4 linked regions of the Drosophila melanogaster genome follow. The gene in region 1 interacts genetically with each later gene. Each region holds a gene or a part of one and is shown in the gene's direction. Other genes may lie near its edges. The genes, in order: Cds, ArfGAP1, rdgA and garz.

Region 1 (8,939 bases):
TCACCTTTTTCTGTTTTGGATTGAACTGGTCAGAAACCGATAACAGGCACAATGACTTCCAGTGCTTCGCAGCACTGGTTGGCGTTAAAAAGTTATCGAATTAAAAATTTGACTAATTTTAAATGTTATTTTATATTTCTTTTATTTAATAAAATTACATTTCTCGCACTGGATTATTTGAATTTAATCGAGTAGAGCAAAACCAAACCCGTTCAAAGCACAAAAATTTAAAAATTTTATCATCCACAAAAATGTGTTTTTATTTTAAATCAGAATGAAATTACAGGGAATCAAGAGCATAATTTAGTGCGCAGTTGAGAACTTATTCGAATAAAAACTTCTTTTTTTTATTAATCGATACTGATGACTGCCACGGGGTTCGAATCGTCCAGGCGGGAACGTTTGCACTTGGTTGGTCCCGCGGGTTCGTCGTCAGACGACTCCAAAATCTCGGTGATATCCTCATCCTCGATTACTTCACATGGCTTGCGCTTGGAGCCCGATTTTGGGGGACTCTGCACAGAGAGCTTGTCTGTGGCCACGACAACAACATCTGCTTGGTCTTCGTCTTCCTCGATTACCAGACAGTCATCGTCATCTTCCTCAACCACTTCGTTGGGCCGGCTGCGCTTCGAAGTGGAGGGTCCATCGTCCTTTGAGTCTCCTTCCCCGTTGGTAGAACGCTTCTTAGCCGATTTCGGTTCATCCTCCTTGTCTTTCACGGCCTCCTTCTGATCCTCATCCTTTGGCTTCAGCTGTGAGGCATCTGCTACGACTTCGAACAAGTTTTCATCGCGCTCCGCATCGAAGTGGGAAATGATAATACTCAACTCGTAGTTCTGGAAGAAGTCGTCGCACTTGAGGATCACACCATCCACAATGTTTAATTCGCTTAGGAGCTTGCCGTCATTGCATTCGGTCTCGCCCTCCTCTGAGGAGATTAAAATGGAGCCATTGCTCTGCACAGTCACATCCGGATTCAACATGTTGAGCGTCTTAACCAGGACCTCGTCACGCAGCTCCTTTATACGCATGCGCTTCGTATCGATCTTGAGAGTAATGGCCGGATCGCTGGCGCATACATGGCAATTGGGATTGGGGCCAGGAAGAGAAGCGTCCGGTACAAGGAAGTGATTTCGTGCATTTGGTCTAAGTCGGGCATAGACGGCCTTGCACTGCTCCCACTTGGCCTCCAGCACTTTGAAAGCCCGCATCACGGAAATTCCCGCCGTAATCGCATTTGTGGTGGCAATAGCAGGAATAATGTTTCCCGCCATTGACTTAATCTCGAACCTTGACTTTCGCTCAATGTCGAAAATGTGGGATCGCACGTTGGCGCAGGCCGCCACGAAATCCATGGCTGGCTGGTCGTCCTTGTCCCAAGCCAGAGTATCGTCGCCTTCGAGTTTCAGGAAGTTAGCGCTCAACTCTTTTAATGAATTGGCAAAGACCTGAGCGCACTCCTCGATGGACCACACCTTGTGATGCTGCTTGGCCACATCCTTCTGATCACCGGAGGATCCTTCGGGCAGCAGGGTATCCCACTGCACGGGCACGGGTGCCTTGCGGGTCTTCCACAAATTCGACATACGCAACAAATAGGTAATGTCCTCGTTAAAGAACTTGTTGAACAGCTTGCCCGCATCATAGTTGCAGTCCTTGGCCCATTGGCGAGTATTAATGCGCATTATGTTGCCGTTGGCAGTATCCTCCTTGGCCTCCTTTTCCTCTTTTGACTCTTCGCCTTTTTCCTTCCCATCGCCTTTGGGCTCGCCATTTCCATCGCCGCCGTCTTTTTCTTTTGCATCGGGATCAGCAGCATCAGGAGAAATATCCTCATCTTCCAAGGACTCACCAAACAGTTGACTGCAAATAAATCAATAGATTTGCTGCAATTTAGACTAATTATTAGGTATACTCACTTAAAGAGATGCTTGGCCCAGACAATGCAGTGAATCGGTTCGGAGGGCGTATTGCGTATGGTGCAGCCCGGGAAGCTTCGCTGTTTGTCTTTTGGAGTGCACTCGTAGCACTGGGTGAGTCCACGCTTGATCAGTTCCACCTGGCCATTGTAGCCGGCGGTGCCGCTCTCGATCAGCGGGACATCCGCATTGAGGCACATGCGATTTACATGATTCCTGGCGGCCCTGTTGTCCAAGGCGCTGAGCACCAAATCGAACTTCTTAAAGAAGTTGACGCCATAATCAGTACTAAAAGGTATGTGTTGTTAGCAAGATGTAAAGGCAAAGCTATCCCAACTTACGATGTTACACTGTCGTGGTAAGCGGTTATCTTAGCGTCCGGATTGAAGCTCAGTGCGCTTTCCCTAGCCACCCGTGCCTTAGATTTTCCAACGTGCTCGCGATGGAATAGGAACTGTCGGTTCAAGTTGCTAAGATCAATTGTGTCCAGATCGATCTGGGTAACGTTTATAAATTAATAATATGGAATACTTTTTTCGAAAAAACTTACAATTTCGATGTCTGTAAAGCCGCTAAGCACAAGGTTTTTGAGCACCTCGCAGCCGATTCCGCCGGCGCCCACGACCAGCACCTTGGACTTCTTTACCAGCTCCTGCAATGTGGGTGGGAAAACACCATTGATAGCTGCTGCCATTTTCTGAATTTACGTTTTCCTTTTTCTTATTTTTGGCGAGAAAATTGCAAAATTGCGATACGGAAAAGCCGAGAAAAGTGACGCCGCCGGTGCAGGTGTTGGGAAACGTATAAAGCTACGGATATTCTCTACCAGGGATGGCTGATATGGGTGACTCTTATTATCACTTAAATTAACTTTTCTAGTATTATTAATATATTTTATTTTACATATTACGACAAAAGTCACCGTTAATTGCACAGAAAAAGAAAGTTCTTTTAAAAGACATCAAACATTTTCTGTCCGAAAAGTCAACTTGTAAAACCTAACAGCAATTGAGCATACTTGCCAACACTTTTGCTCCACCAGCCCACTTTGCGCAAGCTGGGCACACTGCATGCTGGGCTAATCAGAAATAGAGAAAAGCATTTTAATTCGGACGAAGTCGACATACGGATCACGCAGCACGGGTCACGGCAAACGGCAAACGCGGAGAGCGGAACACGGACGAGAACTGCTCAAGCGGAATCAATAGGAATCAATACATTGTGAATAGATCTGGCGAACATCGAATAATGGCCGAAGTGCGACGCAGGAAGGGCGAGGATGAGCCACTGGAGGACACGGCCATCTCCGGATCTGACGCAGCCAATAAGCGCAACTCCGCCGCCGACTCCTCGGACCATGTAAGTAGCAATGACTTGTATGTGGAGCAGCCGAGCGGCAGCTGTTCCGGACACCAATTTGCATAATTCTTGGAGCATAGAAAAGCCAATGTGTGTATACCAACAAATGTGTGTGGCTATGTGTTTTTGTTATTCTCTGACGCACAAGCAGGTGGGAGAAAGAAGAGAGAGCTCTCTCCTGGAGAAAATCCAATAACAAACACAAAACACACCACTAGCCAGCCAGCCTGCCTGCCACCCAACCACCCACCTGCTGTGTTGCAATATAGCGCCATTATGACCAGCAAATCCAATTAGATGGACTACGCCAATTAGGGAAGCACTGGGCCAAGAACCCAGAGCCGAAACCATTACCATGACCAGACTCCCTTTCTGGCTTGGACTTTTTTTGTTATTGCTGGGTGATAATGCCTCCTTATCAACCAAGCTATTTGGCAACAAAACACGCCACCCAAAAAAACCCGCAATTTTTCTCCCCACTTGGTTCCCCTCTCTATTTTATGTGCCTGTGTATTGGATAAACGAGTGATTCTGATTATGGGTATATAGGCACATACATACACGTATCATGGACTTTGCTCGGCGTCGTCCAATAGAAAGTATTTAAACCCTGCACTCCGGTCGTATCGAATCTGATAGGAAACCTACTTTGCAGTCCCAGCCAATGCAATCAATAAGTGAATTTTCCCTTTCCCTTGCTCCTCCTCCTGCCAGGTGGACTCCGAGGAAGAGAAGATTCCCGAGGAGAAGTTCGTCGACGAACTGGCCAAGAATCTGCCGCAGGGAACCGACAAAACGCCCGAGATATTGGACTCGGCCCTCAAGGATCTGCCGGATAGGTATGTGAAACAAATCCATATGCGTAGTTGGGATCTTTAAAGATCATGATGAATAGCTAAAGGTCGATTTGGAATTGATGATTCAAAAAATATTTTATTGAAGTGCGAATTTTATAAATCCGACAGAATGAGTATGAGTGCGTTCCAAAAATAATCCATATCCACAGCTGTCTACAGTTGGCGAGCAAATATTAAAAGTAAATATGTACAATTACAAACAATTATTTTTTGCGCATTCCACAGATGGAAGAACTGGGTGATTCGCGGCATCTTCACATGGATTATGATCTGCGGCTTCGCATTGATCATCTATGGTGGACCGCTGGCCTTGATGATCACGGTAGGTTTAATGGAATTCGCTTAAACGAGTCTTCAAATAATCGTTGTCCTACTTTCTCTTTGCAGACGTTACTGGTGCAGGTGAAGTGCTTCCAGGAGATCATCTCGATTGGCTACCAGGTTTATCGAATTCATGGCTTGCCCTGGTTCCGAAGCCTTTCCTGGTATTTCCTGCTTACCTCAAATTACTTCTTTTACGGAGAGAATCTGGTAGACTACTTTGGCGTTGTAATTAATCGGGTGGTCAGTAAATAATACAATAACCTGATTATATCGCCTGGTAAATATGCAATTTCATCTACAGGAATATCTGAAGTTCCTGGTGACCTATCACCGGTTCCTTTCCTTCGCCCTGTACATCATCGGGTTCGTTTGGTTCGTGCTCTCACTGGTGAAGAAGTATTACATCAAACAATTCAGCCTGTTTGCCTGGACCCATGTATCCCTGCTGATTGTCGTCACCCAGAGTTACCTCATCATACAGAATATATTTGAGGGGCTCATTTGGTTCATCGTACCTGTTTCGATGATAGTGTGCAATGATGTCATGGCGTACGTGTTCGGTTTCTTCTTTGGGCGCACTCCCCTCATCAAGCTCAGCCCCAAGAAGACCTGGGAGGGCTTCATCGGGGGTGGCTTCGCCACCGTCCTCTTTGGCATTCTGTTCTCGTATGTGCTGTGCAACTACCAGTACTTTATCTGTCCCATCCAGTACTCGGAGGAACAGGGACGCATGACAATGTCCTGTGTGCCAAGCTATTTGTTCACGCCCCAGGAATACAGCCTTAAATTGGTAAGTGATAATGTATTTCTATGGAGTTATGGGTTACCGATTTGTTGTGCTGATAGCTACAGTAATAATTTTTTTCATTTCCAGTTTGGCATTGGCAAGACTCTAAATCTTTACCCCTTTATCTGGCACTCGATCTCCCTGAGCCTGTTTAGTTCCATTATTGGACCCTTTGGTGGCTTCTTTGCCTCTGGATTTAAGAGAGCTTTCAAAATTAAGGTAAGTAATCTTTTCGGAACACAGGTCTTTTCAATGTAACGCAACACACCATCTTGTTTTGCAGGACTTTGGCGACATGATACCCGGACATGGCGGCATTATGGATCGTTTCGATTGTCAGTTTCTTATGGCGACCTTCGTTAACGTTTATATATCCAGCTTCATCAGAACTCCGTCGCCGGCTAAGCTGCTGACACAGATTTACAACCTTAAGCCAGATCAACAATACCAAATTTATCAGTCCCTCAAGGACAACTTGGGCGACATGTTAACCTAAACTTGATCGGTTACCAGTAAGATTCGGACAAGACGTTTGCTGAGTCGTACGTTCTATATGTAATGCAGAAATTTCTATATATATACATTGATATATATCTGTAAGCAAACGGGCCGGCAGTTTGAGCAGCCACATAAAATAAGTTAATTACGGGCATAATTTTTGTTATGTTATTAGTCCTTAGTTAGATTTTGTTGCTACATTTTAGTTAAATTCTTAAGTTAGTTTTTATTTTATCTTGCATTAAGTTATTGCGATTGTTTTATTTGGCAGAACTCTACACAGTGCAATCGTATTGTTAAGCGATTCCATTAATTTTAATGCCCTCGTGACAAGGCGTCAAGGCAAGGCAAACAGAATAACTATGAATTTAATATCGACTATGTGTGTGTGCGTGTTGTTAGTGAATTTAATTACGATAACTATAGCTTAGAGATGATCAGGCAGACAACGCCAGAATCTGGAGATTAGCATAATTAAAGCGCATTTTAGTTAAATACCTGAGGGACGAAATTATGAGATCAAGATACCAGGAAAACTCTTGCAATGCTGTAATTCTATATATAATAGTGCAATATGCAGACGTTAAATAATTGATTTAACCATTTCAATATTTATTTATTTACTTTTATTCGGTCATACACTACGCCATGCATAGTGCAACATCCTCAACCCGTGAATCTTTCTCAAAAAGTACATAGATGATATATAATCGGTTACTTATAAATCCTGTTATACTGTACGGCATTTAAGAACGAAAATGCAATTCGTCGGCGTTTTAAAGAACTAAATGTACAAAGATTTCAATATTAAATCTTACAGTCTCTATGTTAAATATATATAAAAATAACAAAGCCTTTTTTTAAACAATGTGGGAAGCGCTTCTCTTCCATGGCACTTGTGATATCTTAGCATCTAAAAGGTAGTTTTAATCTCATTAACTAATAGGGAACGTTGTGTCCCCTAAATTAAGTTGATAGTATTCACCATCATCTTTTTGATTAAGGAACGGTCTAGGTCGTTCACATCATCGCGGTCCAAATTGAAGTAAACTTTCCTCTTGCGAGCATCATCGAGAAGGTTGCGCCACATTTCAACAGACTACAAAATTAAGAAAAGTTCATAAAAAACATGTTTTATTTCAATTAAATCTGGATACTGACTTTTAGATCTTCAAAATTGCCACATATGACTAGACAACGACGCGGTCTGGTCAGCGCCACATTAAGTCGCTGATAGTTCGTTAGAAAGCCACAGCCGCGTGTCCTGGCATTTGAAATTATTATCACATCCTTTTCCAATCCTTGATACGAGTCCACAGTCTGAGGAGTTATATTCATGTGACTGGGAATAACCTGGCTTAGCGCGTAACACTGGTTTTGGTACGGCGAAATTAATCCATAGCTAAATCGCTTGCTGGGCATATGTTTGTCCATTTCTGTCAGAAGTTTGGCCACAAAACGAGCCTCCTCGTTATTGCTGATACTCTTGTTTTGGGCGCCATTGCTGTCGCAAGTGTATTTTAAATTAATAACGCAGTATGGAATGAGCGGTGAGGCGAAACGAGCAGTACACTCGGCGTTTATCAACTGATCCTCGTAGAAATACTGGTTTGGCCATCGACAGATCTCTGGATGCATGCGGTACTGCGTGCTCAGCTTAAATAGTTTCGTATGCATTAAGTGATAACTTCCCGGCTTATCAAGCTGTGTCTGCAGGCTTCGCTGAATGCGATCAAACATTGAATTAGAAAGGCCAAAGTCTATGGCCTTCTTGGACAGCACCACAGCCGGAAGTTGCTGCATGTCGCCAACCAAGACCATATGCGTTAATCCAAATCGCATTGGCAGTAAAGTCCAGGGCTCGGTACATTGTGTGGCCTCGTCGACGATGCATATGTCAAAGAAATCTACATAGTTTGCCAGTTTTACACAAGAGGAAAGCGTTGTGCAGATGATGTTCGCCCTGGTCACGCACATGTGAGAGATTTCAAACTCCTCGCGCTGCGTCAGCGGCGGACTCAGTTGGTTACTTATCAGCTGCAGTTTTTTTTCCTTCTGTTGCAACTGTTGCAAGAGATACGTTGACGTGAGATTCGTTTTCTCCTTCAGCTGTTGAATCTCATCTTTAAGATCATTATGCTGCTTTTTTAGGATTTCAGCGTTCTCTTTACTAACGCGCTGCAACTTCTGCTCCTTGGCTTTGTTGAAATGCGCCTCCAGCGAAAATGGACGAGAGTAGTGGCTCATCTTCTCGTGCATTCCAAAACGTAGTAGGTGGAATTGGTCGCGGTTCATCACACGCAAAACTGAGCCTAGCAGCCCAACAATATGATCTACAGCTGTATTGGAATGAGCACATATCAAGATTTTGCGGTCCAGCGTTTTGGCAGCATTTCCGTACAAAGTCTGCAGACATAGTTCCGAAATAACTCTTGACTTTCCGGTCCCGGGGGGACCCTGGATCAGAGTGAGACTCGGTTGTAAGTCGTCAATTATACGTTGATAGGTATGCAGGACAATGTTCTCCTGATGTTCATTTAACTTGTGGCACCCCTTGAACGTAAACGGCTGTTTAGGGAGTGAAACCTCATTGACTGTTTGCGTAGGCTTCAAGATCCGCCGGCAGAGCGGAGAGCTACGGAGCTGATGGACGGCACTCAAAGCGCCAAGCTCCACCCTTAAGCTGTCCACTACTGGCCGTGCAGTCAACTGCTTAATGTTTTTGAGCTTCTCCTCGGATATATCTTGTTTCAGGATCTCAAATGTTAAGTCGAATACGTTGCCTAAAAAAAAGGTCAGCAAGGCATTTAATTGATGAATGTTTACAATTATCTTAACATATGCTGATGACTTACCTGAGACAAACTTAAGCTCCAACAGATTGGCAAAGGTCTCTTTTAGCATGCCACAACAGTAAAGGGTATAAAGGACGAATTTTCCGAATGGTTTGCTATTGACTGCAAAAAACGTCCGAAAATTAGTAATTGGTAGTAAAAAGTATTGAATATGCTTACCTCTGGTAACCAAACGGTAGCACATATCCTGCGTTTCAACGTTTATTAAGCTGACCGAAAAAGTGTTTTTATTGTTAATTTTGTAGTCTCTTTCGATGGTGGAAAGCAGCTCCAGTTTCATCAAGGGCACAAATATCCTGCGAAAATGAATTTAAGGTTGAAATAGTGTAGAAACTAG
Region 2 (7,571 bases), 4.3 Mb from region 1:
GTAATAGTTAAAAATCTTTTATCTCAGTGAATCTGTCAGATTGAAATAGTTTTTCCCCGAAATTGCCTTTGTGTCCAAAGTGGCGCTTTGGGGTCAAATGTGCCGCTCCATTTTCTTAGTGACAGCCAGTGTCCCTGAATGGAGCTGGTGTATCCAAGCGAGAGTGGATTGCATATCATCCTCGAGTTCCGATTGCATCCTGGCCGCCAATTCAGCCGTTGTCCGTTGCCTGTACCTGTTAATTGCCAAAGGCGTTAGTATTAAGTGGTTTTCGTGCTTATTATAAATATCTCTTAATTTTCGCCATCCCCACGTTGTGTGCTGGTGTGAGTGGCGAAATCTTGAAATGGCAATCACCGACCTGCGATTCCCAGCTCCCCAACAACCCAGCATCCCAACATCTCAGCATCCCAGACCAAAGGCAGCCAAGTGGACATCGTCTGCGGACTCGGAGTCGTCGTCGTCGTCGTCTGCTTTGTTGTCATTATGTTGTGTTATTTGGCACGATTTGTTAAGCTAAGGAGCAGGAATGGGTCCCAGCTGAGGATTGGAGCACAGAGGCGAAGTCCAAAAGGGAGCTTAAAGTAAAATCATATGAATTTTAAACTTTGAGTCATCTAACTAAAGCTTATCTTAGTTAAAAGGGCTGCTGTAGCCTTGGAATGACTGAGAGCAAAGTTCCCTTTTGTGAGTTTCGTTAGCCCCATGGAACCCCCTTTGGTATCCACCTCTGTGCTCCGATCTCCACTCCAAATGCTGAAGCTGAAGGCTGTGCGCGGTTGCATGATGCTGCCGATCGATTGGCTGCGAATCGATCAGCGGCGCGGAGCGGCACCAGAGCGGCACCAGAATGGCCAAAGCCTTGCGTCTTCGGTAGCCGGATCACTAGTCCTGGCTCCTCAGCACCCAGCTCATACGCCCTCCCCTTGGATTTGGGCCCTCTTTTCAGAGAGCTGCCGCTTTTGGCCATGAGATCGGGAGCCAAACTGGCGTCGCACAGCACAGCACAGGGCCCATATAATTGTCGCATGCAAGATCGCGGCCATCGACATCGGCATTGACAACTCGAAAAGGTGAGAGGGCAGGTGGGATTGGAGAGGGGCATCCTCCGGACAGGAGGACATGAAAGGTAACGCATTGCTGCGACCAGGAGAATAAGTAATTCACTTAACGCTTTAATATCGCTGATAAATGCAGACCAATCTGCATTCCCCCCCTTTGATTTCTGTTCTTTTTTTTTATTTTTTGCTTGGTCCTCGACGATCCTCTCCATACATTTCCCCTTAATTGGTGCAATTTCGAGCGATTTTATTTTATTTCGCCAGAGTTTTTTATGATTTTTTTTTTTTTTTGTTTTCTACCTTAGAGATCACCTGTGCCTGCGCAGACTTTGTGGCTGCGGCGTGCGAACAGTCTGCTCATTTGCATAAATTCAAATTCATTTGCACGTCATTTGGGAATGGGAAATCGAATGCAAATCCGTATGCGAATGCGATTGCGAGCATTGTTTTGCACGTGTTGACAAGTTGCGAGGGGCTTGTGGATCCAAAGGAGAACAAAAATAGGGGGGAAATCTCAAGCATAGGAGGAGCCGCGACCGGATGCCCCGATGATAAAATGCGCATCCTCTCCAGAGCCCGCGAACCCATGGCTGCTCCTCGTCTGGCTGCGACCAACCGACGACGTCTATGCGAGTTTAATGCAAGCCTAAGCCTATAATTTGATCGTATCCACACAATAACTCAGGCCATAAGCCCAAAATCCAACCCTGGACTCTGCGAGCTGGGAGCTGAAACGAAAACGGATCTCAACGCACTGCCCAATGCCCAGTGGCGCTTTTGGGGGCGTGGCTGCGCCCAGCAAGAGCAGTGACAGAGCCGATAATGGATGCGCAGCAATGCCATTTCTGGCAGATCGGGGAGTACTCCGCGGCTTCTGATAAGACCACCACCAGCGGAGCACACTCGAAGAAATTAAGGGCGCCAACCAAATTCAAATGTATGCAGTGTTGTATTAGGGAAAAACATGGCATAAGTGAAGTTTAAACACAGATAACGGTATCTTTCAATGCTAAAAATTCTATATTTAGATTGAACAAACTTAGAAAATTTTGATTTACTAAAGAGATGTCTTCAACAGAAAGGAAGCTAAAGGAAGTAGTCTCATAATATTATGAACTAAAATCTAAGATCGTTTTGTTAACTACTTGATAGAATATGAAAGGTTATTTTCTCATCTGAGAAGTCTGTTATTTATCTCAGTGCATTGGATCCGCTCCGGCAGCGGGACAAGTAGTTGTTGAAAGCGTCGAGCGAGTGCCCAGCCAGGAACGCCCGGCTCTTTGGCTCACTGGCTCATCGGCTCACTTAGCGAAGGAAGGAGTCGTAAGTTGGCTGGGACGTGGCGATCGGCGGATCGATCGATCGGATTACCCGGCAGGCTTTTAAATTCAACACATCCTGCGGTCGCCGCGGCAATTATATGCTCGTTGCCGCTCGCATCCAGATCTGATCTGCCACGCCCCCCTTGTTGGGCGTGCGACGGCAATTATAGATCCGCTGAGATGCCAAAAGACGCTGACTTAAATAAATGCGCGAGTTTGGAAATTGAAAGGGAATTAGCGGTGGGCAGGCAGAGCCGAACTGCGGAAATATTGTGCATAATTATATGCTAATCCGAATGGCATTGAATTATGTGCAGACGCGTGTGGTCACCTACCTTTTGGACTTTTCCTCCAAGGGGCACTGAAAAATGGGGAAAAGGGAAATGGCTTTTAGGCGGCTCCAAATTCTCTCAGATTTGAGTTCCCTTTCATCTTTGGTGGCCCTGCCACCCGCGGTCTGTTTGCATTGAAGTCGATCATGTAAGTAATTTCCCCTGTCCGGGATTCAAAACACCGAAATCGAATCAAAATCCACCGACAGTCGGTAGGAGATTGATTACTGTTAGGAGTGTGATAAATCGCTGTTTTTATTAACTTTTTTCGGGATGACGCAGCGCAAATTGGCGGCGCTGCATCTCCAGTCGCCGCACGAGTACTGAAGATCTGGAAATCAGATCAGCGTGATAATGTATAATTTGTTGAAGGGTTTTCGGCGTGCTCGCAACAAAGGCGATGCCATCGAGTTGGGTTAATTGAATTTGCTGGAGAGCGGACAGAGATTTTTGTGCAATATTTAGCTAAAATATGTATGTGTATATTAACATTATTAACATTATTAACACATTAACATTAACATATGTTGGATAATGATGAATAAAAATGGTTTTCTAAATGTCTAATTTAATTTATATAATTTCGAAAATATTTGTTCTTATCTAACTTTTTTCGAAATATTTAGTAAATAAGCAGCTTGAATATATTATATGCAAGCTATATACAATAAATATAATACAGCAACAGAGTAAAAAAATATTTTATTGTTTTTATAAAACCGATAGAATTTTAAATTAAAACATTAAAACATGTTAAAGCTAATATTTTTAGGTTTTCTTTTATGAAAGACAGTTTCAAATATATTAAACTTGTTTGCTTAAGATATTTAAATATCCCGCTCATTTTCAATAAACTATCGATATATCGCAATTCCGAACGTTCCACTTTAGTTGCACTTTGGTCACACTGCAAAACAAAAATCCAAGTGGAACTTTGAGATGGGTAAATATCGATAGTATGCCCAACTTCCTTTGGTTTTCCATGCAATATTCGGTATATCGATGCTGTCGTGAGTGGTCAGCTCATCTCCAATTCCAAGTGGGACACGCTTAACACTTTTTTTTTGCCAATTTGCCATTAATTGCAAGCGTCCCAGCTGATCCAAAAAAATTCAAAACTCTGTTAAATGCGTTTGGCCAGGCGTTCGTCGCGATCCGTGGACTTTAAAGGCTCGTAAGCGTGTGTGAGAGCTTCAAATCGCCCCATCTCAAAGCCAAGATTGCACCCAAATCAGCGCCAGCGTCAGCAAAAGTTTCATTAGCAACTCGGTTATCAGCTGCGAAACTGAAGCCAACTGAACGCAAAGAGTTGGGCAATCCGCCAGAGCAGGGCCAGAAACCATAGAAACCAGTTGCCATGGCGAGTCCCAGAACGCGACGGGTGCTCCAGGAACTGAAACCCCAGGATGAGAACTCGGTAGGTTTGCTCCTTTGTCCACATACGCTAGATAAGCTTCAATTTCTTTGTTTAAAAATGACTAGAAATGCTTCGAGTGCGGTACCCACAATCCGCAGTGGGTGTCCGTGACCTACGGCATCTGGATCTGCCTGGAGTGCTCCGGCAAGCATCGCAGTCTGGGCGTGCATCTGTCCTTCGTGCGCTCCGTCACTATGGATAAGTGGAAGGACATCGAGCTGGAGAAGATGAAGGCGGGCGGCAATCGCAATGCGCGCGAGTTTCTGGAGGATCAGGAGGACTGGAACGAACGGGCGCCTATCACGCAGCGTTACAACTCGAAGGCGGCTGCTTTGTACCGCGATAAGATAGCCACCTTGGCCCAGGGCAAGAGCTGGGATCTCAAGGAGGCGCAAGGCCGCGTGGGCAGCAACAATAGCTTCAGCTCAGGTGGCTCCAGCAACAGCAGCTACCAGTCGCGACCCAGTGCAACAGGTTATGGCGGAAACGGAGGCTATCAGAATGGCGGAGGCGCCGAGCCTGGAGGCTATCAGCAGTACCAAACGCAGGAGTTCAAGGACCAGAAGGAGGAGTTCTTCAGCCGACGCCAAGTGGAGAATGCCTCCAGGCCAGAGTAGGATCTTAATGGCATATCTGTCCATTAGCTATGATTTATCCTAGTTGATTGTTTCAGAAACTTGCCACCGAGTCAGGGCGGAAAATATGCAGGTTTCGGGTTCACACGCGAACCACCACCGAAAACGCAATCTCAGGAGCTTTTCGACTCGACGCTTTCCACTTTGGCCTCTGGCTGGAGCCTTTTCTCCACCAACGCCTCCAAGTTGGCCAGCACCGCCAAGGAGAAGGCCGTCACCACCGTCAATTTGGCCTCGACAAAGGTGAGTCCTGCGCCTCAGCTCGTATATCTTTCAGATTTTGATTCCTTATTTGCCTATTCTCTTCGATTTGGTTCAATATTATGTTGATTTTGTATTCTTTTGGTTTATTATTAGTCTGCTGATTAGTTTTAAATAATTTAAAGCTGTAGAAACCCACCTTAACAACAAAAGAGAGCAAAATCCCTTTAGTTAATCCCCATATTTGTTTGTTAATTTAATTGGTACACCTTATTGTTTGTATTATTTATTTGCATCTTTTTTTGGTTGTAGATTAAAGAGGGAACTCTGCTAGATTCCGTACAATGCGGAGTTACCGATGTAGCCAGCAAGGTCTGTAGTTCCCCATCATCCAGTTAATCTTCTCTAAACCCACATCCCTCTAACATATAAACATACCGATCGCAGGTCACCGATATGGGCAAACGAGGTTGGAATAATCTGGCGGGCAGCAACATTTCGTCGCCGCAGGGCGGATACAACGATCCCAACTTCGAGGACAGCAGCGCCTACCAGCGTTCCAATTCCGTGGGCGGTAATCTGGCCGGAGGCTTGGGTCAGCAGAGCGGCGTCAGCGACAGCGACTGGGGCGGCTGGCAGGACAACGGCAACAGCAAGTCGCACATGACCAGCTCGAGTTCGTACCACAATCAGTTGAGTAGCAGCAGCGGCGGCGGTACCGCCTCCGCCGGCCTAACCCGCGACGCTGACTGGTCCGGCTTCGAGGCGACGAACTATCAGAGTTCAGAGACCTCCTACCAGAACGCTTCGTCCGGCGGATCGACAGCTCGCCGCAACATGAAGCTGCAGGACACATCGCAGAAGCTGAGCGAGGGCTTCGAGAGCCTGGACGTGAAGAGTGTGAAGCCCAAGACGGCAACGGCCTCGTCCGCCAACAAAGGCACTGCCGAGGACGACGCCTGGAATCTGCTGATGAACTAGAAACCGTGGCGAGCAGCTTATGCGATTGTATTTTTTGTATTCCATTCGGTTGTCAAGTTGTGTCTCCTTTGTTTTATGTGTCTCTTGATGTCTGGCCCCGAGGCTGCTATGCGCGCATTTAATGTAACCAACTGAATTGTGTATTCATTCTTCGACTTCAAACATAAAGTGCAACTATTCCCGATTATTTCCACAGTTTAGACCAATTTTGTATAGATCTACTTAACTAACGAATTACTTAGCTTAAAGTGTATGCCAGGATACTGCGAGGGATGCGAGATGAGAAAATACATATTATGTTAACAAGTGTAGTCGTTCGTTTTTTAAATGGGCGGTTTTAAATTCAAAAAATATAAATATTTGCAAATTTAAAAAATACATTTAAAATTAATAGTGTTACCCTACAATTCCACATTTTAAAAACCACAAATAGGTTTGAGTCACGGCTAAGCAGTGACGCGATGCATTTTAGGGTATTTTCGACCACACAAGAAGTATATCTAGATAAACGTTCGTGGTCACACTGGCAAACCCAAAAAATTAAAATTGAAGAGTTCTGCGTGAATCGCTTTAAGCCACAAAGTCGCCGAAATAGCGTAAAAGCAGACGAACTCTTAAATAGCTCGACCAGTAGGTAGTGACCACAGAAAAAGTGGGAAATGCAATTGAAGCTTGCCACTTTCTTTTGCATATCCACATTCCTTTCGCCTGCATGTGAGCGTGTGTGTGTGTGTGTGCATGAAAATCGAGTGCAGAATAATTTTTGCCAAATTGGCAACAATTTGCAAGCGTTTCGAGAGAAATTTGAGTCACACCTGTCTGGAAAATGGGCGGAGAATTCAGAAAAGAATGTAGAAAGTGTGTGAGAGCGTGAAGAATTCTTCGGTTAAAGCTACGCTTTGCAAAGTAGAAAGTTCGAGTTGCTGGGGGAAAGTCTCCCTTTTCCCAACACTCCCCCCCTCTACCACGACTTTTGGAGACATGTGCGTGCGTGTGCGTGAAGCTGTGGGTTTTTCAAGGTTTTCCGGAAAATCGCTGGCCTTCAAAATTAACTGCGAAAATCAATGGGATGTGGGTTGTACGCGGGATCCTGAAAATTGGCACCTACAATGTACATATGTAGTTCTCCAGCCAAGAAGAGGATGACTTCATCGCGGGGAAATTCGATACGTTGAGCTGTTTTATTTATCTTTCGCCCAGACATAACATTATAAACTAATGTGTATACAACACTCGATACCTCTTTCAGACGACTGTTTTTCCATTTGACTTGCCAAGTAGTGCAAAATGAGCCGGCCATAAGAGCAGAGCAGCTGATAGCCCAACACGTAATCCCCCAGAGAATCGGAAACCGAGCAAACCCAGAGAAATCCTTCAGCTGCCAGTTAAAGAACAGAAAACTCAAGGTAAACTGTAAACACGAGTGTGGAGAATGGTCAGAAAGCAAGTTGGAATCGAAAACAGTGCATCCTTAGCAGTAAGCAAGCAGCAGGATCAAAAGGAGCAGGACTATAAGCCAGAGGATCAAAAGCAACAGCACATCGACATCGACTTGACGCCCGATCCGGCCAGCAACTTCAACTTCGCCCAGCAGGCGCAGGCCAACTACTCCGCCCGCACGC
Region 3 (7,696 bases), on another chromosome or scaffold:
ATTTGGTCATCGGAAATTGTCGATGGGTGGATAGCACAGTCACAGTCCGTTGTCCTGACTTTATGTTCCCCTTGGACTGATGAAACTTTAACTGGGGAAACTCCACATAGAATTGCAATACAAAGCTGATTATCGGTAGTATCGATACGTTTGATATTTGCTTGTCGATAGACATGAAATATAGATCAAATATGGCTGACCTAATTACTTCCTCATTTAAGTAACTAAATGGTCCCGTCAATTGAATGAACAGTTCACTATTTCGTTTCTTTTGTCTTAAACTATGAAAATCGATTATTTCGATAAGTGTACAGTTTTCACAATTGGTTATCGATTGCTCAGGCAGGCAGACGCAACGCTGACCAATTTCCACGGTAATTGCAGCGCACTCATTGACGGACAGGTCGTAGATGCCTTTTTCAAATAATGTCTACTTCGTTGCCTTGCTTCGAACCAATTTGAAGACCTCCTTGTTTCTCCTTGCCGTTTCCTTCCTCTGCTGCAATTGTGCGCCGTTTTTGGCGCCCAAACTTTGGTGTGCCTCGCCTGAAAGTATGCCACATTGCCCGTGACGAGGAGATTATTGCTATTGTCGTATCAATTGGAGTACACCCCAACAGCCTAGCAAGGAAGCTAGGAACTGCAGCTGTGGTCAATGCTGACCCTCGGACTAGAGTCAAAAGAAGACTCAAGCGACACCACCCTCATGACCTCCCTAACCTGGTTTTGACCTAGAAAGTCTTAGTTTTAAAATTCATTAGAATAATCAAATAAATAATAATTACTATGTTATATCAACTATTATAATTCTCCCTATCATTTTTAGGATTAAAAATCTGTTAGTCTTAAGTAACCAAGACACATTGTAAAATAAAATAATTTAAGCAGATCAAATTAAGTTGCCGCATGGGTAACAGTGCGTTGATCAAATAATAAAAACATCATCGTAATGGAAAAAAAAAAAAAAAAAAAAAAAAATCAATTGGTAGCATTTACATGCGGCGCGTTTTTCTCTATGTTGCTGAATAAATCACAGACCATACGAAACATGTTCGTATGAATAATTTGTGGACTGTATTGCTTTTGGGCCATTATCCTTCGATGGAATGAGGTCTCGTAATTGCTTTATAAAAAGCATGTTTTTGGGTCACCAAAAATTGCAGCATAATCGATTAAATTAGTAAATAAATCAATAAACATTTCCTCGGCCGATTGGCGACTGGTGTTAGATTACTAATTGCCGTTTGGCATTAATTAAGTCGCTATTTAGCAATTAAGAGGTGTTTGATGGCATTTAAGGAAATCGGTGGTTCACAGTCCATGATATTTTTTAAATGAATTTTTGAATAATAAATATAATATAAAATAATATAAATTAAGACATTTTTGTTTAAATCCAACGAATATAATTTTAATTAAATCAAACCATAAGTGTTCTGTTTTGCTAAACACCTTTCTCCAGGGTATCTCGCATAGCCCTAAACATTTCGGGCAACAATCCCACATGGCTATCCACGCAGTTGCTGGTGCAACGTTCCAAGCTATAATCGGATCCATTGAGGCGGCACTGCTGGATGCACTTCTCTAGGCGATTCTCAAAATCGGATATACCCTGCTGTACGAAGCAGCGTGATCGGGTCAAACGGATTTGGCAGCGATCGATGCACCGCTCCACCGCCTCCGCATTCGCGTCCGCATCCGCACAACAGGCGGTCGCACATCTGTGCATCTCGATCTGCAATTTGCGCAGATAATCCCGATCCAGATCCTCCATGGCGGTTAGGATTGCATTGTCAACGCGTTCTCGCTTCTCCTCCAAACTCGAATTGTCACAATCCATCTCGAGTAGTATAAAATTTATGGAAAATATAAAAGTCGGTTGGTAATTTTCGTTTGACTGCCCTTATTTGAGTTACGCAAAACGCAATGCTACTTTGGTTTTGTAATAATTTCTTCAATTTAAATAATATATGAGCAGGAAATGGGCGACTCGCAGTGTTAAGTAAGTTAGGTCATGTTCTTGACTCTTCTTGGGCAAATTTTTAAACTAAAGTCACGGCATTGACATAACTCAGTGTGAAGCTATCTCTAATTGAGTTTGAGTTAATTTGTTTTTTGCTGATAAGTGCACTACTGAAAGTGTATATAAGTAGAAGTTGGACAACGTGGCCGTGCATAGTTTTTAAAAATGCATTACTTGCATATCTTTGGGCTCTTGGTCTTTTTGGCCGCTTTTGGATTAAGCCTTGAACGTCGTGATAAGGAATTCTACGGGATATCTAAGGAGCAGCTAACGACTACTAAACATAAAGAGAATTCTGTGGAATTTGTACAACACAAGATATCCTTGAAGCTGCCGCAGAGATACAACCGATTCAAACGTCAGTCCTTTACGCCATTTGAAAGGCGTGTGATACGTTTACTACGTAAATTGGGCTTATTAAAAAGCGATGCTGAACAACTGTTGGATACTCTCGAAAAGGACAAGGATCTATTACGAAGATTGAAGAAGTTACTCGACGAGGTCGACACCGAACATGAGACCAATGATTTCCTTGAAGATTTCTTCGATTTAATATTTTTCAAAAAAATATAAGCAGCTTTCTTCCTGTTGTTAGGAATGATATTGATCGATAACAATATTGCCGATTATACCGATAATTAATGCCATAAAATCGTTTATTTAAATTGTTTTAGATATTGCAAACAATCTGATTGCTAATAGCTAACAATATCATTACGATAATCGTTTGGATTATTCTAATCCCTTACTTCCTCCATCGCCCTCACACGCCATCACTCTCTCTCTCTCTCTCTCTCTCTCGATAATTATCGATAGTTTGGGCACTTGTGTTGGACCAACTTAAAACACCGCACAAATGATTGCCATAAATTTGATGGCAACAAACAGCGACAACAAAAACAAAGAGTAGCGCTGCCGCCCGCACTTTCTCCGCAGTTCTCGCCATTTCTCCGCTCTACTTTCTCCGCTCCTCTCTCCACTCAATAATGTGCCAACTGTTGAGTTTCCTTCCGCTTCCGAATGCGAGCGCGAAAGAGAGAGAGCGAGAGCGAGAGAGGGTGTGAGACAGAGACGGGGCGAGCGGGAGTATGTGGGCGTTGGGCGGCAAAGGGTGAGGGAGTGAGAACGATACGGCCACTCGCTCGCTTGCTCGCTCTCGCTCTCTCTCTCTCCCTCCCTCCCTCTCTCCCTCTCGCTCTCTCGCCGGCATCGAAGGCTGCTTACAGGTGTTTATAGTACTTCGGCTTTTGCCGACCACAGCCGAAGTTGCCGGCCGATTGCTGGCCTCTCGCTCGCTCCCGCGCTTATGCTCAATAGCGCCCTCTCGCTCCCGGTCGCTTTATATTCCTGGCAATGCGTCGCCTTCGCATCAGTTTCATTTGAACGGTCGACGAGGCGCGTTGTTCTAGAAATAAATAACTCATTTAAATAGCAGAACAGCCCAAGCAGGCCAAACATTTCAAAGCAAAATACCAAAACTCTCTGGAACTACCAAGTTCTTAAAAAAAAACACCAACATCGCCCAAAACACAACAAAAACATCGCATACCATAAGAAAAACATAAACATACTGAAAAACTTACAATATCTAAATATAAAGTAACTATTTTTTTGATTGTGCTTCTAAGTGTTGTGCTAAACCAATATTAACTTGTACAAATATTCGAAAATATTCAAAGATATTCCAAAGTATTTATTCAATACTTGAAATATAAGCTACGATACAAACTTAAAACTTAAAACTATGTAAGACTAAGATCTAGTTTTTGTGCTTTTTGAATCCTAACTGTTAACGTGTAAAAGCACGCAAAAATGTGCACGAAATTTTGACTTGATTCGAACGACTGAAAAGTGCGTTCCATTGTAAAGAAAAACTAAAGCGGCAAACCGAAACGGTAAATATGAATATACTTATTGAAATTCATTGAAAAATTTCCTTGGAAAATTTGTTGATTAATTTCGTGATGTGAGAGTTTATTTGCCGTGTGTGATTGTGAGCAGCGTGTTTGTATTGTGATTTTTCGGAAATGTTTTTATATTTAGTCTTCAAATGGGGATTCCCAGATTTATTTAAAGTTTCAGCTACAATTTTTGGCAAATATTCGTAGTTTTAGGAAAAGCTCCACAGAATATTGTATTGTATGCTTCAGTTAATAGAATCACGCATGGAAATTATCAAGAATTCGGTTCTCAGCTTGTTGTGTTGAATTTGATGAGTTTTTTTGGAATATCATAAAATATAATCGGATTTTATAGTTTACAAAGAGTTTCAAAATTCCACAGATGTAAAATAGTTGACTCGAATTGCTTGAATATATTAATATATCTTAGTTTAAAGCAGTAATTTTTTAAAAATTATTTAAAGCTCGAGCTCTTTTTAGGCTCCACAAATATGTGTGCAACAATGTGTAATTTTGAATAAAATTCCGTGGAATGCCCTTTGCTTTTCATTCTGTATAAATTCAATTACCAACATTCTCATTGTCTCAGAGTATCCCCCTACTTTCGAATGTCTGTGTGTCAATAAGATGATTTAATGAAAAATCGTCTGCAATTTCGGTTCGAAATTCGGCAAAAACACGGCGAAACAAACTCGTTACGCATACGCCGTGTGGGCAATTGTATTAAACGATGCCATTCATTGAAAATTGCTGGCCAAAGCGAGCGGTTTAGGTTTTTTTTAGGCCACTCCGGTTAAGGATTTGGGTGTGCTCTTGTCGGCCAGCCAGTCTCGTTAGCCGAACTTGTTGCCACATTCGCATCCGCACTGGCATCCGCAACGACATCCGCACACGCATCCTTCGTGTACGTGTCCTTTTGCTAATCGGTGCGTTTAAGGAACTGCATGCTGGAGGATGTTGCAGCTCTTGTATTGGCGCGTGACCGGCTTTTCTCTGACATAAGAGCGCGAAATGGCGAAAATAACGTAATGGCGAAAGGCGGCACTCTGTGCGGTTGGCAATCTTTGATTTCGCATTTCCCCGGTAACAGGGGAAAATGTCAGACAACGTGGCGTATACGTGGCATTTGTGTTTGTGCTTCCGCTCGTTTGTTGTCCTCAAGTTTGCATTCAACGACGAAGGCACTTCGTCGCGGTAACCAAGTGTAAATATACAATTTAAATTTCTCTAAGGAAACTTTAAATTTATATATTTTTTTTTTAATCAATACGAAGAATTTACATTTTAAATCACCAAAGTATAAACATGAATGAAGCCTGCACATATTTGTAATAATAAATGTGTGCGCTTTGAAATGGTTTAAAGATTTTTGTTTTAGGCGACTTTGTTTGTTTCTGAAATAAAGAAATTGCTACCCATTTGTCTTGCGTACATATAAAAACGCGATGTTTCAATTGTTGATCCACAATTTTTTGTTTGCTCTTGTTTGCTTCGCTTCACATAAAATATTCAATTTTCATTTCTTGTCGCTTTTTTTTTATTCGTGACCCAGGGGTTGGGTTCGCATATAAAATCCAATAAAAATACACATAAAAATTGAAAACAAAATACAAAAAAAAGAAGAAAAAAAAAAAAACAGAAAAGAGAATGAAAATGGTCGAAAGATACCGCGGGCTATTTGACAGCAACGAGGGGGAAACACGTATGCATCGCATTTTGATTGCAGATTGTATATCCATTTGTAAGGGTGTTTCCTTTGCCAAAAGCACCGTGTTAATTAATAGAAATTGCCATTTGAACAATTTTTGGGAATTTCAATATCGAATGGAATTGCATTGCAAACCAAACCAATTACCAACCAGTGTGGTAATTTATTCACCATTTTTTACCCCCACAAAAATTTCCACAATCAATCATTGTTGTGTGTGGCAGTTTAGGTAGCTCAAAGAAGCTGGGGTCGGAAAAATCGAATTTTTGAAATTTGAAAGCTGGAATCGTTTGCCCATTTTTTGCCCATGTTTGCCCACCAATTAGTTTTTTTGCCCACGTCCAGTTTTTGAGATATGAATTTTCGAAAAAGTTCGAAAATTTTCGAAAATCAAAAATTTCGCTTTTTTCAAAATTTTTTTTTTTAAATCGCAATAACATCGTTTGCCCACGTTTGCCCACCCTTTAGAATTTTGAAAAAATTTATACTTTAGAAAATATAAGGCTTTTAAGTTTACCTCGGTCTAATCAGAGAGTAAATCGTTTGCCCATCTCTTAAAACCAAATATTATCAACAAAAAACGTTTGCCCAACCATTATTATTAGTTTTTATCGTTTGCCCACCCTTTAAAAAACCTTTAACAAAAATTTTTTTTCGATTGCCCACATTTAAAATACAACCAATTTCCTTAGCCCACCTCTTTAAAATAAAAATTTCCAATAAAAAACGTTTGCCCACCATTTAAAACTAAATAATTTCGATTGCCCACCTTTTAAAACTAAATAATTTCGTTTGCCCACCCTTTAAAATTTGTTTTTTTCGTTTGCCCACCTCTTAAAAATGGTTTTTTCGATTTTTCACCTATTAAAAATAAATTTGTACATATGTATGTAATAATTGTAAGATGTGGCGTCAAAAGCACAGTTACTTACAAAAGAACAGTTATTTACATATTTACATACATTTTCAATATATCCATAGTGTTAATCATTCATGAATTGTAACATCAATTTTTCTTAATCATTGTTTCATTTCATGGAAAATATTTTATATTGCAATATAATATATATGCAAAAAAATGTATGTATGTTTATCAACACCCTCCAAGCTCAAGAAAATTCTGGAATAAAATATTTTCCATGAAATGAAACAATGATTAAGAAAAATTGATGTTACAATTCATGAATGATTAACACTATGGATATATTGAAAATGTATGTAAATATGTAAATAACTGTTCTTTTGTAAGTAACTGTGCTTTTGACGCCACATCTTACAATTATTACATACATATGTACAAATTTATTTTTAATAGGTGAAAAATCGAAAAAACCATTTTTAAGAGGTGGGCAAACGAAAAAAACAAATTTTAAAGGGTGGGCAAACGTTAAAAATGAATTTTAAAGGATGGGCAAACGAAATAATTTATTTTTAAAGGGTGGGCAAACGTTAAAAATGAATTTTAAAGGATGGGCAAACGAAATTATTTAGTTTTAAAAGGTGGGCAATCGAAATTATTTAGTTTTAAGAGTGGGCAAACGAAAAAAACAAATTTTAAAGGGTGGGCAAACGAAATAATTTATTTTTAAAGGGTGGGCAAACGTTAAAAATGAATTTTAAAGGATGGGCAAACGAAATTATTTAGTTTTAAAAGGTGGGCAATCGAAATTATTTAGTTTTAAGAGTGGGCAAACGAAAAAAACAAATTTTAAAGGGTGGGCAAACGAAATAATTTATTTTTAAAGGGTGGGCAAACGTTAAAAATGAATTTTAAAGGATGGGCAAACGAAATTATTTAGTTTTAAAAGGTGGGCAATCGAAATTATTTAGTTTTAAGAGTGGGCAAACGAAAAAAACAAATTTTAAAGGGTGGGCAAACGAAATTATTTAGTTTTAAAAGGTGGGCAATCGAAATTATTTAGTTTTAAATGGTGGGCAAACGTTTTTTATTGGAAATTTTTATTTTAAAGAGGTGGGCTAAGGAAATTGGTTGTATTTTAAATGTGGGCAATCGAAAAAAAATTTTTGTTAAAGGTTTTTTAAAGGGTGGGCAAACGATAAAAA
Region 4 (7,472 bases), on another chromosome or scaffold:
GACCTGAAGCAGTCGCATGATGGTCTGCAGCGGCAGCTTGGAGCGCCAGGAGACGATCCACTCGGGCGTGGGCGTCCAACGATCGCTCTCGCCAGGCACCATGCGAATGCTGGCCCTGTGGGCCACCGACAAGCGGGACAATTCCGTGGGTGAGGTGGACTTGCGTTCGTCAGTTGGCGTCGAAGCGGCTGATCTGTCGTAGGGCACAATGTCTGTAGAATCCTCCACCTGAGGCTTGTCATTTGGATGCGCCTGCTCCCGCTCCGTCATCTGAGTAATGCCCGGGGTGTCCAACAAGGACGTTTTCAGTGTTCCTGGCTCGGCTGGCTGCGCCGTGAGAACGTCCGACTGCAGCTCCCCCGCCTGAGATCGCTCATGAGACTCTGTCTCCGATTCGAGATCCTCTTCCGCCTTGGGCTCTTCATTAATTATCTCCTCCTCGTCCTCATCCTCGTCTTCTTCGTTGTACTCTTCTGGCACGTGGGCCGAGGGCAGTTCCTGGGACACAGCTGGCGTTCTTCGCTGTGGTACCCGCGGCAAGTTAAACTTTCCACCTGTTTTACGGCCACTCAGGCACTTGGCTATGCCAGCCATATCGGTCGGGAGATTTGCCATGGCATGGAACACATGACGCTTTCGAATTATGGTGTAGACTAGATTCGAGTTGCCATCGAACTGATACTGTATAATGTTATTGAAGATCTCCAGCAGGAAAAACACCAAATGATGATTGCTGGGTGCCGATAGCAGAAACCAGGGTGTGCTAAAAGCCTCCAGGAGATGCAACATCTTTACACTAGCCACCATCGAGAGGGTTTTCAGATATGGTGAGACATTTACCAGAATGGTCAGCAGACAATCGAAAAGCGGCTGCAGCCTCTGGTGGCCAGTGGCTATTATTTTGTGGAACACAGTGATGAGTAAGTCCGCATGGGTTCCAGTAAACACAGGTATATCCATGGGCACCGTGGCGGAGTATGCTTTGTTAAGCCGAACCCCAAAGTTTCGCTCACCTATCAATAAACATTTATTTAAGTGTAAGTGCACTGATTCCACGAACAAAACATATGACATATGACTCACCCGATAGGAGCAACAGTATGAATACTCCAATATGCATCAAGCCCACTCGAGATTGATCCGCTCGGGAGTAGTTTAGGTGATACAGAATGGGAATCAGGATGTCCAGAACATCGGAGCTCTTTAGCACAAAATACAGAAACTTTTTGTTGTAGTCGCATATTTTCCAAAACAAAATAAGCAGCTCCTGGTGGCAATGAAGTCGCTTTGTGGAATTGGGCAAATAGTTCTGGACCAGTGGGTTGTTCAGCAGCCTGGTTATGCCCTTGAGCACAAAGTGAAAGTCCTCGTCGCGGTGAACCCTCGAAAGATAGTTAATGAACAAGTTGTCGCCGCAATTGCCCTCGTCGTAGGACGCCTGTCCGGGTTGTGTGAGTTGCTGCTGCACCACCATATCGTGATCCAAGGTGACAATGAGCAGTTGAAGGCACGCTTCCACCAGGGGCTCTGTGGTGTCTGCAAACAGCAGGTGATTGTAGGGCACGCCGAAGCCCACCGGATCGTAGGAGCACACGGTGTTCAGAAACGAGGTGAACAGCGGCAGGGCATGGCGATTGTCGGCCGAGGTGAAATATGCTATCCACTTGTTGGGCTCCTCGGACTGCTGCGGCGATCGGTACATGGGCTCCGAGAAGCAGGTGAGTAATAGCTTCAGCAACTCCGTGCGCCTGCGCTCCATGTGGGCGTTGTGGGGCGGTGACTGGGCGAAACCCACGCCCGCTTCCCAAATGTACTCGCAGCTATCGATGTTCGCCAACTCCTCGGCCTTCTCGGGGCCCGCACGCCGCGTGGCCGTAACCGTGAAGTCGGGACAGAAAAGAAGGTCGCAGGTGGCATTGAGCAGTGACTGAGCCAACGGCATGGTCTTGTCCTGCGATGGCAGGCTGCTCCAGAAGAAGTCGCGCCACTTTTCGTCCTCGAAAATGTACGGCAGACACCGGACGAGCAGCCGCACGCAGTTCAAAACGCACTGCTGCTCCGCCTGCGTGCGACAACTGCTGTCTACCGCCTGGGCAAGCTTTTCCACCGCCTTGTAGCATAAGGTGGCCAGGTTGGCTGGATTCTCGTTCCGTATCTGGCGAATCTCGCTCGAGGTGACCAGCGCGAACACATCCTCCAGCGTCGTCTGGTGGCCCTGCCAGAACTGCTCCCAGAACTGCTCGTCGCTGGGGTCGATCTTCTGGTTCTTCTGCGTCAGCTGCACAATCGCCTTGCGAAAGTTCAACTTGGAGTCCGTGTTTCCCATATTGTTCGGCCTGTGGGCTGCTTTGGTATCGCTGAGTCCTGTAAATCCACCTGCCCCGTGCTCGATCGCCTCAGTGCAAGTGTGCGCAGTAGTCTGGAACAGGAATGCTTTGCATTTAATGCGATTCTTTTTCAAAAATCGAACGATTCCAATTAGAAATTCGCCTACGCACCAAATGCCAGTGTAACTTAGTGGTGGGTGTAACGCTCACGACTGAAGATGCGTGCGTGACTGATTATGCTCACCTGTTTTGGCCCTCATATTCAAATATCAATTTGATTAAATCAATTTGATCGACAGCTTGGCAACATATTTTATTTTAAAAACAAGGTTATATTTTTTTTATATACGCTTGCAGCTGTATTTCAATTTAATCTATTGAAATTTCCGCATCGAGTTGGCATCTACAGCTGTGCCAGTGCTGCGAAGCGACGAACTGCCGCGCCGGTGTTGGAAGACGCTTGTGCAAAATATTCGGACTGCACACAAGAACATAAACGACACGTAAACGTCACCAAAAATTAGCAGCTTACCAGTTCGATTAGTTAGGATTAGTGAGAGATGCCCAACTAGGCAGCACGCCCAGATTCGTCCAGGCAGCGTGAGTGTGCGAGTGGGCAAGTGGCGAGTGCCAAAACATATGCGAAGGTCGTCGGGAAGGGAGGAGGAGCTGCCCTGCCCCACGAAAACTGCAATTTTCAGCGCTAGCCCTGGAACTGGAAGCCAACTAGCTGCAGTCGTAGAGACACCGCAACGGAGGACACGCGGACACCATGGCGCTTCCAGGCAACGGCATCTACGTGGTGCGGGGCGAAATGGCCACCCTGATGACGGCGATGCGACGTGGAACGCGTTGGAATGCCACCGCCTACGTGGTAAATAGTGCCCCTAATGCTCACTGCGAATAGAAAGTATATGGCCCTTTTGCACATCCACAGGACGACGAGAATGACTCGCTGCTGAAGCTGTTCATTGACCTCAAGCATGAGCTAAATCGGATCGAGGACCTGCGTCAGATCGAGCCTCAGGTCTTCCTGGCTCCGTTTCTTGAGGTGATTCGCACGGCGGACGCCACGGGTCCGTTGACTAGTCTAGCCTTGGCCTCGGTTAACAAATTATTGTCTTACGGGCTAATAGGTATTATGATTTAGTGCTTACCCTCTGCATTTGCTCATTCTGTACCTATCCACAGATCCCACGTCTCCAAATCTGGCTGACATTGTGGAGCGCATTGCCGATGCTGTGACACATGCCCGCTTTATGGGCACCGATCAGTCCTCGGATGGTGTCACCTTTATGCGAGTGATTGAGGTGCTGCACACGCTTATCCGCAGTCCCGAAGGAGCCGCCGTCAGCAATGTGTCCATGTGCGAGGTGATGCTCAGCTGCTTCAAGATCTCCTTCGAGCCGAGGCTGAGTGAACTGCTTCGTCGCTCGGCGGAAAAATCGCTCAAGGACATGGTGCTGCTCTTCTTCATGCGCCTTCCCCAGTTCGCCGAAGAGCGAAGTGACACCATGCTCCAGAAGCGATTTACTATCGGCGATGCTGCCAGCGGAGCTACCCAAGAAAAACTAAAGCGTAAGACGGTTGCCCAAGCCCAGACAGCACCCAGGAAATCGTCAGCAGTGGAGGAACCGCCTCAAACACCGCAGTCTGCCAACCTGACGGTGCCAGGGCACTTGAAGGCACCCATATTGGCCACCACACCCGCCAGTCCAGCGGGAAACATATTGGACATGCAGGGCAAGATTACGCAGACACCAACAACAACGGCGAGCACGGGGGAAGATGAAACCACTGTCCCGGAGACTCCTGTTATTCAAGTGGAGTCGACTGAATCGGAGCCCTTGCTGGACGGCGAAACGGGTGAAGCAACCAGCACCCTGGCCGAGGCAAATAGTAGCGAGTACATCAACTCGGTGGGCGTCCGTTTTACACAGCAGTCCACCGATCACGATGTAACATCACTATCCCCTTATGGCCTGCCCTTCATCCAGGAGTTGTTCCGATTCCTCATAATCCTCTGCAATCCTCTGGATAAGCAGAACTCGGATAGCATGATGCACACGGGTCTTAGTCTACTTACTGTAGCTTTTGAAGTCGCAGCCGATAATATTGGAAAGTATGAGGGCTTGCTGGAGCTGGTTAAGGACGACTTATGCAGAAACTTAATATCGGTAAGGGACTCTTAATTGCTTCGTTAGTTATTTCTGACCTAACTCTTTCCTTTCCCTACAGCTTCTCAGCTCAGAGCGGCTTAGCATCTTTGCCGCCGATTTGCAGCTCTGTTTTTTGCTTTTCGAGTCTCTCCGCGGACATCTCAAGTTTCAGCTGGAAGCCTACCTTAGAAAATTGAGCGAGATTATTGCTAGCGATAATCCCAAGACGCCCTACGAAATGCGAGAACTCGCTCTGGACAATCTACTGCAGTTGTGGCGCATTCCCGGCTTCGTCACGGAATTGTATATCAACTACGATTGTGACTTGTACTGCACGGATATGTTTGAAAGTTTGACAAACCTACTGAGCAAGTATACGCTGTCAGCAACGAATGCAGTTTATAGCACCCACATTATCTCAATGGACACCCTGTTAAGTGTGATAGACAGTATCGAGCGAAATTGTGCCGCGAGCAAGAATAGCAGCAACAACAGAGAGTCCTTGCCAGAAGCTGCCCCAGCAACAGGTGGCAGCCGCCATTCTCGCCACAACAGCGGATTGGAGGGAATCGTAATTGATTCTGGCAATAGTGTAGCTGCAGAAGAGAAAGTGGAGAACATCGCAAGCTTTATAAATGCGAGCTCACATCGACTACGACTACAATCTGGCGGAGAGGGAGTGGGAATAACCAGTGAACAGCTGGCCAAGGTCAAACAGAAGAAGCGTCTGCTATCCCAAGGCACAGAGCGATTTAATCAGCGTCCAGAGAAAGGAATCCAGTATCTGCAAGAACACGGCATCCTAAATGCCGAGCTTGATCCCATGCAGGTGGCCCTGTTCCTTCGAGAAAATCCCGGGCTCGATAAAAAAATGATTGGCGAATATATCTCGAAAAAGAAAAACGTCGACTCTAAGATTCTAATTAATTTTGTGGACTCGTTTGATTTCACTGGTCTTCGAGTGGATCAAGCATTGCGTCTTTATCTGGAGACCTTCAGATTGCCCGGAGAGGCTCCATTGATCTTTTTGGTGCTGGAACACTTTTCTGATCATTGGCATGTGAGTATACACATCTACTAAAATACTTGCAGTCTCTGATATTAATCATGTATGTATCCCACCAATATAGAAACAAAACCAAGATCCGTTTGCCAACGTAGACGCTGCTTTTCGCTTGGCCTATGCCATCATCATGCTGAACATGGATCAGCACAACTCGAACGCGAAGCGTTTAAATGTTCCAATGACGCTCGAGGACTTCACTAAGAATTTGCGTGGTCTAAACGGTGGCGAAGATTTCGATCAAGAAATGCTGGCTCAAGTCTTTAATGCAATCAAGTAAGCTTTAGTACATATAGCGTCACTCTCATTTGCTTATATTTCCGATTATTAATTATTTAAGGAACGAAGAGATCGTTATGCCAGCAGAGCAAACGGGTCTGGTGCGTGAAAATTATCAATGGAAAGTACTGCTTCGACGAGGAGACACGCACGATGGACATTTTCACTATGTGCATGACGCATCATACGACGTGGAGATCTTCAATATTGTGTGGGGTGCTTCTCTGAGCGCCCTAAGCTTTATGTTTGATAAAAGCACTGAAACGGGCTACCAAAGAACTCTAGCAGGTACGTACATAAACATCTAATAATTACCATTCACATCTCACATTACGATTACATTTCAGGTTTCAGCAAATCCGCTGCCATATCGGCGCACTATAATCTGCATTCGGACTTCGATGCCCTCGTTTTAACTCTCTGCAAATTCACAACGCTGCTGAGCAGCGTAGAACAGCATGAGCCCGCTCCGGCGAACAATGAAACCCAGCAAGCTGTGAACTTTGGATTGAACGGAAAGGCTCAGGCTGCCATGCGAACGGTGTTTCTATTGGTTCACGACTACGGCGATTGCTTAAGAGAGAGCTGGAAACACATTTTGGACCTATATCTGCAGCTTTTCCGTCTAAAGTTGCTGCCAAAATCATTGATCGAAGTGGAAGACTTTTGTGAGGCGAACGGAAAGGCCATGTTAATCCTGGAAAAGCCCCGCGAGAAGCAGGAATCGGGACTATTTTCCAGCCTGTACTCATTTATCAGCTCGGAGGGTCAGCGAGAACCAACGTACGAGGAGCAGGACTTCATCAAACTGGGACGGAAGTGCATTAAGGAGTGCCAGCTGGATCAAATGCTGCAGGAATCAAAGTTTGTGCAACTAGAGTCGCTGCAGGAGTTGCTTAAATGCGTTCTAGCGCTACTGAAGGCTCCTCAGGGGCACAAATCCATTGGCCTGCCGTACGCCGAAGATCAAACTGTTTTCTGGATGGAATTTTTGGTCAAGATAGTTGTTCATAACCGGGATCGCATGATACCGCTGTGGCCAGCAGTTCGAGACCAAATGTACCTACTGCTTATGGGCAGTGCCTCCTGTGGATACGACTACCTACTCAACCGATGCATTGTAGCGGTCCTAAAACTAGCTATCTATCTGATGCGAAACGAAGAACTGTGTCCGATCGTATTGCAATCGCTCAAGATGCTTTTAATGCTTAAGCCAGCCTTGTTGCTGCGCATTTCTAAACAGATTTCCATTGGTATCTATGAGCTGCTCAAGACGTCGGCCCAAAATATTCATTCCGAGCAGGACTGGCAGATTATTTTCAATCTACTTGAATGCGTGGGAGCCGGTGCTGTGCCGCCCAATTATGATGATGCCCAGCTGCCATTGCCGCCCAACGGAAGTGCAAAGTCTGATGGCGCTATAAGTGGCGAAGAGGACGCAACTGCCGTGCCAGAGCGTGGTTACACTTCGGATTCGGAGATCACGAAAGCATCTGCAGCACCTGCAGTCTCCAGTCCAAGTGCTGAGAACTGGATTCTGGTCAATAACAAGGACAGTGAATTGACTACGGCCTCTAGGTGAGATTCTTCACTCATTAACCTTTCATATCTAATACAACAAAGTTGCTTTTGCAGACCACAATC

What was found.
Region 2: of Cds (region 1) and ArfGAP1, changing one enhances a phenotype caused by changing the other (phenotypic enhancement), as found in Drosophila melanogaster (one study listed by BioGRID).
Region 3: of Cds (region 1) and rdgA, changing one enhances a phenotype caused by changing the other (phenotypic enhancement), as found in Drosophila melanogaster (one study listed by BioGRID).
Region 4: of Cds (region 1) and garz, changing one enhances a phenotype caused by changing the other (phenotypic enhancement), as found in Drosophila melanogaster (one study listed by BioGRID).

Annotation. Positions count from the first base shown.
Region 1 is NT_037436.4:8,125,089-8,134,027, forward strand, and holds Cds (CDP-diacylglycerol synthase), read left to right. Parts: upstream 1-2,673; 5' UTR 2,674-2,766; intron 2,767-2,840; 5' UTR 2,841-3,170; coding exon 3,171-3,281; intron 3,282-3,995; coding exon 3,996-4,120; intron 4,121-4,363; coding exon 4,364-4,460; intron 4,461-4,525; coding exon 4,526-4,702; intron 4,703-4,763; coding exon 4,764-5,252; intron 5,253-5,336; coding exon 5,337-5,468; intron 5,469-5,532; coding exon 5,533-5,745; 3' UTR 5,746-6,587; downstream 6,588-8,939. Other genes in the region: Uba2 (Ubiquitin-like activating enzyme 2), read right to left, coding at 351-1,866, 1,923-2,210, 2,264-2,418, 2,473-2,616; Setx (senataxin), read right to left, coding at 6,709-6,846, 6,909-8,530, 8,603-8,704, 8,762-8,898.
Region 2 is NT_037436.4:12,413,714-12,421,284, reverse strand, and holds ArfGAP1 (ADP-ribosylation factor GTPase activating protein 1), read left to right. Parts: upstream 1-3,704; 5' UTR 3,705-4,072; coding exon 4,073-4,132; intron 4,133-4,197; coding exon 4,198-4,745; intron 4,746-4,805; coding exon 4,806-5,010; intron 5,011-5,280; coding exon 5,281-5,340; intron 5,341-5,415; coding exon 5,416-5,949; 3' UTR 5,950-6,259; downstream 6,260-7,571. Other genes in the region: SCaMC (short Calcium-binding mitochondrial carrier), read left to right, coding at 7,382-7,571.
Region 3 is NC_004354.4:8,921,779-8,929,474, forward strand, and holds the start of rdgA (retinal degeneration A), read left to right. Parts: upstream 1-3,405; 5' UTR 3,406-3,918; intron 3,919-7,696. Other genes in the region: CG12661 (uncharacterized protein), read right to left, coding at 1,445-1,840; CG43255 (uncharacterized protein), read left to right, coding at 2,189-2,596. UniProt on the Drosophila melanogaster protein: Required for the maintenance of phospholipid turnover within the photoreceptor.
Region 4 is NT_033778.4:12,323,575-12,331,046, forward strand, and holds the start of garz (gartenzwerg), read left to right. Parts: upstream 1-2,785; 5' UTR 2,786-3,099; coding exon 3,100-3,201; intron 3,202-3,264; coding exon 3,265-3,463; intron 3,464-3,518; coding exon 3,519-4,504; intron 4,505-4,565; coding exon 4,566-5,546; intron 5,547-5,616; coding exon 5,617-5,825; intron 5,826-5,889; coding exon 5,890-6,116; intron 6,117-6,175; coding exon 6,176-7,406; intron 7,407-7,463; coding exon 7,464-7,472. Other genes in the region: CG8841 (uncharacterized protein), read right to left, coding at 1-1,013, 1,084-2,326.